Linked DNA regions of Danio rerio. The main gene of each other region encodes a partner of the protein of the gene in region 2 in a complex. Links are inferred from orthologs where the notes say so. Each region holds a gene or a part of one and is shown on either strand. Other genes may lie near its edges.

Region 1 (4,307 bases), on a different chromosome or scaffold from region 2:
CGTTTACACACACTCACTAATTACATATAAATGCATCAGCTTTTTAGTGTAATACTTCTGAGTACTTTTGAAAGCTCTACTTTTTACTCATACTTTGAGTAATATTTACATCAGATTCTTTTATTCTACCTGCACTACATTTTTAGGCAAGTAATGGTACTTAGGTATGACTTTTCTGTACTCTTATCCACCACTGGCTATCAGTGATTTTGTTCATAAACTTAAAAAAAAAAAATTCCCAAAGTGGGTCTGGTAATAATGCAATTATTTTAGCTGAGGATACTTTTTTTTTTTTATCTCTTTGTAGTTATTCCTGGTGTGAAGCGTTGAACCAGTAAGACTGAAGCTTTTTTTTTTTAAAGCATACATCTTTGTTTTATTAACAGCTTCAAAAAGTTACATTTACATTGCAGTTGAAAATGAATCGGTCTGTGTTTTGATTGACATGTGATTTACACATTTTGCATCAAGCATCAGTTTTATTATGTGGAATGTCCTGGAGAAAACGCAATGGAAAATTACCTTATAAAGTAGTTTTTATCTATTCAGGCAATCAAATACCACATAATGTTCAAATTAAACATTCTGACCCTTAAAATGTTATTTAATAAGTACCGTAATGGAATTCAACACAAATGTTTTACATTTGTAAATCTTTTTTTTTTTTTTTTTTTTTTTAATTGACCGACACATTTCTTTCACAAGCACAGTTCATGTGTAAATCTGAAACCGAATTCTGACTTCACTAAAAACAGAAAGAGCCATATTCATTCCTCGGCCAATGCAAATACACACACTCTGGACTTGGGACTGTACAAAAATAGCACTTCTCTGCACTGACAATATGTCCACAATGTTTCAGTAATGTTTTAAATAAAGCTGTCCTGGAGCTGAAAATAGATTCACAGGTGTGCAGGAGTTTACACCATGTTGAAATAAACATGAACTAAGCTGACCTGTTTTCATTTTAGTCCATATGACAGTGCAAACATCCATAGAACCAGACTGCAGTCACCGTGGAGGAAATGTTGTGCACAGAGAAATAAAGAATATTGATAATCACAAACTAGTTTCACATCTTCAGTCCTTTCTTCCTCAAGTCCTCTTTGGCTTCTTTTATTTGCGCTTGCAGCTCTTTGGCCGCATCCTCACAGTCATTAAATGTAGCCACACGGTAGCCGACAGTGGCCAGAGAATAACACCCAAACACCACCAGCAGGTACACGGGCATCGGCCATGCAAGCTCTTTATACTGGGGCAGCAAATGCAAATCCAGGAGGTCGAAGGTAACGAGTCCCCATGCAATGCCAATCAGAGACACCGCAAGAAGCCACTGCAGAAGCTTGGTCATGGTTTGGGGGATTGCGAGATGATTGAAGACACAGATAATCCACCTTTGAGGATAAATAGGAGAATATAATGTTAGAAATGAGGTGAAGTTGGTTTAGTATTCGCACACTTGTTAATTTATTTATTTATTTTTTTAACAGTGAAATGGTAATTATATTGTTTACCACGCTACTTTAAATATTTAGTCTTAGTGTGCGAATTATACATTGACTTTATCAGTAATGTTTGTGTAATACATGCTTCAGTGAATCAAATTCACGTATTTATTTAAATTACACCTAATTTATTCAAAAATGTATATATTATATTGAATTATAAATAAGTGTATTTCAGTTTTCAGTGTTTTATTGGAAAGGCTGTTTAGTGTATTCTGACAGGCTAGCCATTTCAACTTATCTTAGGTCAAACTTTACAAACTATGCATCTAATTTGAGTTTGCTTTTAGGCTACATGTAGAAACAAACCCCTATTTTATAAGAAAACAGCCTTGCTAATTCTTACGGTGTCTATCGGTGCTCTGAATCTGCCAGTTTCATACTGTTGAATGACTTTTTTTCTCGCGTAGACTGACGGGCACAATTATGCATTCACAATGGTATGAACCTTTATAGGGGTGGTCATATGGATGTCTACTATTTTAATTATTAACATTATTACTTAAAATACAGATCAGAGTGAACTTTCAGTTTTAAAACGCTGACCCATCAATACATCTTGTTTGGACGTCCTTCAAGAGGGATCCAGCCTTAATTAGAGGGTTAATACTTCCCAAACTCCCCATGTAATTCGCAACCTGTTTGGTCAGAAATCTTATGCAAGTATGACTTCAAAACAACATCAGCTCTATTTAATTGACTGTGAAAATTGTTTTGCTTTGATGGTTATTGGCTGCTAATATGATTACACCATTTGAATTGGCAAAGAATACTATTTTGAAGTAATATTATTAAGCATGAAGTCTGATTGAGCGAATATATAAAAACTTTACCTCAATAAGGTTAGGCTGTTATATTTCACTTAATTGTATTTAAATGACACTGTATGGCTTTTGTGCGTTCCATATAAATATTTAGTTAAAACATGAGTATAGTGCACTTAAAAAATAAGAATATTTCTAATAAACAATGCAGAACATTAGATTAAAAGCCTCAAAGCTTCGTTTTTTTGACCAGTGTTTGATACAGACGAAATCAGAAGATCAAGAAACATCATATGTGACTAAAAATTAGAATAAATGCATATACTGCTTTTAAATTCGCTTTAATCCTCACTCGTATTAAAGCTAGCACGATTGCTAATGATTACAGGTGGTTACAATGAAATCTGACAGTCAGCGCTAAACGGAGGAAATCTGTTAACTTGGCGTCAATAATTAGCGACTAAAAATTTATGTTAATAAATGAAACTGGACTTATAATGTAACGTTACTAATAAACTCTCTCTCTTACCTACTATTCAATGCCAGCTCACTGTTTTCGGATTATTGACGCAGGTTGATGACGTAAATGGCGAATAGTATTATGGGAAATGTAGTGCACGTCTTCACGGTTGTTTTTAAAACGGTCTGTGCTTTCAAATGTTTATAGAAACGAGAGATAATTAAATATCTAAGGACCAAAACAGCATTTTTTTAGTATAACTGGAAGTTTGTCTGTTTGTTTAAAACTTAAACAAACCTTTATGAAATACTGATCTCCTAAACCCTGCTGAAAGAGAAGGGGAAATGGGCATTTCGTTTCTTTTTACTCCATTATCTTAAATGTAGGCTTTAGTCTAATATTAGTATATACTGTATCTGCAATATTATTGTGTTAAAGCTTAAGTTTATAGCGCAAAAACAGCATTACATAGGCATAACTGTGTCAGTTAAATCAGTTGACTGTTGAAATTCAATTTTTTTCACCCAACTGTTGAGTTATTAAATCAATAACCCAACAAAGCCAGAGCACCAAATATTTAACATAACTGGTTGAGCTATTAAATAAATAACTTAATAAAGGTTAAAAGTAACCCAGCAATGAACCATAAATGTTTAACTCGACCAGTGGGTTAAAATAAATAACTCAACGTTTTTAGAGTGTATGAGAAAAAATAAAGTAGGATTGAACAGCAATGATTTTTTTTTGTAAATGTAGGCCTACATACAAATGCAGTAATAATTTTGTATATTCGAATCTGAAATTAACCTACAGTACATTTAATTAATTGATCTGATTCCGCTTTTTAAATTGAGTTAAAATATATAAGATCCACTGAACCTTTTCCTCAATTGAGAGATTTAGGTTTTTTTATCTGTGATGCTGGCAGGAAATGAAACGCCCGCGCTCCATCAGTCTGAAGCTGTTTTCTCTGTCTCTGTCCTGCTGGCAGTGGTGGACAGTGCTGTGTTTTGGATGCCGCGGGCGAACATCCGCCCATTGAGCACGTCCGTGACCCATCACACCTCCTCACCCGCCGAGAGGGTATAAACATCACTCAGACAGCGCTGAGATCACTGTGAGGTTATTCTTAGTGGTGTTTACACTTGTCAGCGACTGCCTCTTTCAGTACAGAGAACGGCTGTAAAAGAGAAGTGTAGCAAGTGTGGCATGTGTGTGGGACTATCTATCTATCTATCTATCTATCTATCTATCTATCTATCTATCTATCTATCTATCTATCTATCTATCTGTGATTGCTGTAATTCTCTTCATAATCAGTGTGATTTTCTTCTGCCGGGGTGTTTGCGTAGGAGTGTGCGTTCAGTGAACAGAACATACACGAAGCGCAGTGGGAAAAAAGCAAGTTGGCCGTTCACAGTGTTTGAGACTGCCAGTCCCTGCTCTCCAGCTCAGGAAACCTGTGATCCAGCAGAGAGCAGTTGGCAGACACAACAGAACAGGCTGCACTGAGATAGAGGGGGTGATGGAGCAGAACAACACCCACAACTTAAAGAACGAGACCAGAACATGAAGGTC
Region 2 (4,210 bases):
CAGTTTATGAGAAGTAATAAGACTGATTTCTTTATAAACATGCCTCACCTAAAACTCCCAGTAAGATCAGACGCTCCTGGTCTGAGCAGAACTTGTGTTACAAAGTTTGCCCCTCGACTAAAACAAAAAAAAGTTATATCAACCAAGTAATATAGTACCACAAAATGTGAGAGTATATGTGCCATGGAATAATCTAAGCCCTGTTTTTATTTATTCTGAGTGGTCGGTTGACATTGCCATATCAAACTGACATTTACAAGTATTTGGATGCATCGCTTGCGTGACCACATGTGCTGTAAGTGAATTTCACTACGACCTTTCCTTACAGACACTTTCTACATCACTATTGCAAGTACTTCTGAATGAACTAACCAATGTTCTACAGCTTTTGTGCAGGTGGAAGAGCAAGAAAATGAAAAGAATGTGAAAACTAGATTTTTTATTGTATTTTGATGTTTTGACACAGCGGAGAGAAGCATGAATGACTTGTTTTATTGCGCTTTCTGTCCGCATACCCTATAACAGCTGTGTTAATGGCTGCTTTAATGCGTTTGACCACAATAATAAATAAAAAAAAGTTGAAAGTGTACAAGCTCAAATTGTGTTTGTCCTTATTTTTTAAACCAACACTTGTGCATTTATACTTGTATGTACCTTTATCTAGTTTACAGAAATTGGGCCACAGACTAGGGTAGAGTTTCCCAATCCTGTTCCTGGAGATCTACCTTCCTGCAGAGTTCTGCTGCAATCTTGATTAAACACACCTTCTTTAACTACCAAGTGCTTCTTCAGATCCTACTTAGTCGGTTTAGTTGATTTTGATCAGGGTTGGCACTGAACTCTCCAGAAAGGCAGATCTCCAAGAATAGGATTGGGCACCCCTGGACAACAGCTACCCAATTAATCGAAATAAATTTTGATTTTGGCTTCCAATGATTATAATATTAAAATTATTGAGAAAATTATTATTGCACCATATCTACTTGTGAATTGTGAAATTTCATGATGTGTAAAATGATCTCCAATAATAAAACATAAAAAGAAAAAAAAAAAAAAATATATATATATATATATATATATCTAAATAAAAAATCATTTCAATGACAATTTGGACCAAAGAAATCATGATAACGATTTCTTTTACATAATCAAGCAGCCATAACATAGATCTAAAGATGACAAAATACATCTTATTTGCCTATTATTAATATTATTCATTGGAGTTGCTCATTCAGCTAAAGTTGCCAGTCCTATACCTGATGAGTTTTCGCCGCAGATCCCATCCATACACACCACCATCTCCTCTGTACCTTGTGCCAGACACCAGGTCATATCCACCTTCTTTCTGTTTTCTGAACAAATATCAAATTTGTGGAAGTTACTCATAGGCTTGTAATAATGCTATTACTGCAAAACTACATTACACAGAATAAAGAGCAGTTCTTTAAAAGCAGAAGCAAGGATAAATGAATTAGAAATCACTTACTCAATGAACTGTGGGATAAACTTTGGCTGTGAAGGAGAAGAAAAAACACATACATGAATGCTCCTAAAGGCTTCACTTGATACAAGCAGAAACACACACAAATCATTCCCATGAGATGGCTCCTAATTCTAACTCATTATAAGTCGTTATAACTATGAATCACTTTAATTCTATTGAAACCCTTTTGCCACAAGTAAAAACATTAAATATATTAAAGGCACATGTTCATCATAAGACATTCAGCAACATTCATTTCAATGGCTTTTCTAAATATGTCCATTTTTTCATGGCCATGTAAACCCTGCATGCAATTTACTCAAAAAGGTACAAAACACACAGTATGCAACTAATTGATGAATGCTTACATGATGTGACAGATCTGCATCCATTATGATAACGAAGTTTCCTGTTGCATGTTTAATGCCGTGGATGTAGGCAGTACCTGAAATGACATAAACGTCAATTACTAATTAATTAATAATAAAATAATTAATTAACGTCAATACTGCTACAGCACACATATTTTAGCTGAAAAATAACCAGTTACTATTCATTTTTTACACACCATAAGACAATTTGGGTCACTTTTCATATTCAGCAAAACATTAAATACATTTTAAGACCTTCATAATTAATAATGTTGCCAATTCATAATGTTGTCATACAGGCAATATTAAAAACTTAATAATGTTCAGTTTCTTGCAATTGTTTCACTTCTGAAGATTCAGGAGACACAGATATTCAGATTTTGTTTTTCCTGTATATGTTTTTTTGGGCACTTTTAAAATGTCGGTGTTGCTCACTCCTGTTTTTGTTACAACTTGGATGACCTAAGGATTAACTATTTATTTAAGAAGCATTAATAAAATGATTATTTAGCATAATGAGCCAGTTTACCTAATCCCAGCTTTTCTGCTCGCGGTCTCAGGAGCTGAAAAGAATAAAAATACCAGCTTTATTTAATTACTTATCCGACGAGATATCAATCATGTGGTGTGTATAATAATGCATAACTCACAATTTTATCCGCGCCGTAAATCTTCTGCAGCTGCTCGGCGATCTGCAGTGTTCCGTCTGGACTGCCATCATCGATGACTATGATCTCATAGTTGTAGCCACTGCATTAATGAAATAAATGAGCACTTAAAACCGATAAAAAAAATTACAGTTCCTCTTCTAGCGTGACGTCACTGACAGCTCATCATTAGGACTTCTACAAGCTGACAGCTGGTTTTATTCAGGTTTCGCAATTACCTTTCGCCGAAATACTTCACCAGCAACCAGACGATCAACGGGAGGTTTTCTCGCTCATTGTAAGTCGGCAGAAGGACAGAATATTTGTCAGGTTTGTCCCGACTCTTCGCATTACTTCTGCGGCTCGCCATGTTGGCGTCTATAGTAAACACCGGATGTTTACATCAGATTTGCTGTCCGTGGAAATCAGGAGCTCCATCCTTTGGTTCCGGAGCAGATCGCAGAATATTTATGATGGAAGTTGAGAAAGCCAACATACTGTTATACTACATAGAGGATTTTCCAAAATCTGACACGGAAAAAGTCCCATTGACTTAATATTGGACCAAAGTTTGTGACCAGTTTGTAACTTTGCACCAGACTGTCATACAGGCTCAACTCAGACTACCAATCTGACAATCACTGATCACCTTTTCATCTTATAGCCGTACGGTAGCAACTGTCCCATTGCCTTATTTTGTAAAAATCTGCCATTGACTTTACATTAGACATAATGAGAATAAACCAATGTATGCTAGCAATATACTAGAAACATACTAACGACAATTCATACTAGAAACATAATCTATACTAGAAACATATTTCGACATAGCAATCTGTACTAAATATATACTAATCTTAAAAACATACTAATCCATACTAGAAACATACTAATCTATAAACATACTAACGACATACAATTCTTACTAGAATCATACTAATCCTTATATTATAAACATTTGCAACATAATTCATACCAGAATCACGCTAGCTTATACTAGAAAAATATATGCTAGCAACATTGCAAAACAACATGCTAGTTACTAGAAACATGCCAGCAACATGGTAATTCATACTAGAACCATGCTAATTTATGTTAGCAATGCCTTAGTAACCACTCAGAACAACTGCCTAGCAACGCCTTAACTATAACAGAACACCCTAGCGTAACTTTAGCAACTGCCAGCAGTCACTCGGAACATTGTTGCAACTATCTAGCAATACCCTAGCAACCACTTAGAACACCCTAACAACCACCTAAAAACCCTAGCAAACACCTAGTAACACCTTAGCATTGATAGAAACATGCTAACATGTAGTTATCTAACTATGCCAACTGTCAAACTTCTTAAAAACTACTTCAGTTATTTAAACTTCGAAACTACTCCAAACTTTCAGACTGGGCTTTCTCAAAACACCATGAAGTTTGCCTACAAATGTTACATTTCTAGTTAGTTGAAAGAGTTTTCACACACAAACACACAACAGAATATTTACTCACTTTTTTTTTAATGGTTTCAAACCAGGAAATCCACAGTGTGAAAAAACTATTTAAGTCAGAAGTTACTGGATTCCAATATTCTTTAAGATACTTTATTTTGTGTTTAACAGATAAAAGAATATCACAGCAGAGGAAGAGTAAATGATGACTAGTGTCCACATTTACAACACAACCCATTAGAATTACAAAATGTTGACCAAGCATATTTC

Evidence for each region. Proteins that work in one complex are often made in the same cells at the same time.
Region 1: dpm1 (region 2) and dpm3 share a complex: the UniProt entries of both Homo sapiens proteins name them as parts of the dolichol-phosphate mannose (DPM) synthase complex. The link is inferred for Danio rerio from reciprocal best matches to the Homo sapiens genes DPM1 and DPM3.

What each region holds. Positions count from the first base shown.
Region 1 is NC_133194.1:9,591,938-9,596,244, forward strand, and holds dpm3 (dolichol-phosphate mannosyltransferase subunit 3), read right to left. Parts: upstream 2,857-4,307; 5' UTR 2,799-2,856; intron 1,395-2,798; 5' UTR 1,352-1,394; coding exon 1,073-1,351; 3' UTR 348-1,072; downstream 1-347. UniProt on the Homo sapiens protein: Stabilizer subunit of the dolichol-phosphate mannose (DPM) synthase complex; tethers catalytic subunit DPM1 to the endoplasmic reticulum.
Region 2 is NC_133198.1:23,416,620-23,420,829, reverse strand, and holds the start of dpm1 (dolichol-phosphate mannosyltransferase subunit 1), read right to left. Parts: upstream 2,907-4,210; 5' UTR 2,872-2,906; coding exon 2,741-2,871; intron 2,605-2,740; coding exon 2,505-2,604; intron 2,418-2,504; coding exon 2,384-2,417; intron 1,929-2,383; coding exon 1,852-1,928; intron 1,513-1,851; coding exon 1,487-1,512; intron 1,353-1,486; coding exon 1,257-1,352; intron 118-1,256; coding exon 49-117; intron 1-48. UniProt on the Homo sapiens protein: Transfers mannose from GDP-mannose to dolichol monophosphate to form dolichol phosphate mannose (Dol-P-Man) which is the mannosyl donor in pathways leading to N-glycosylation, glycosyl phosphatidylinositol membrane anchoring, and O-mannosylation of proteins; catalytic subunit of the dolichol-phosphate mannose (DPM) synthase complex.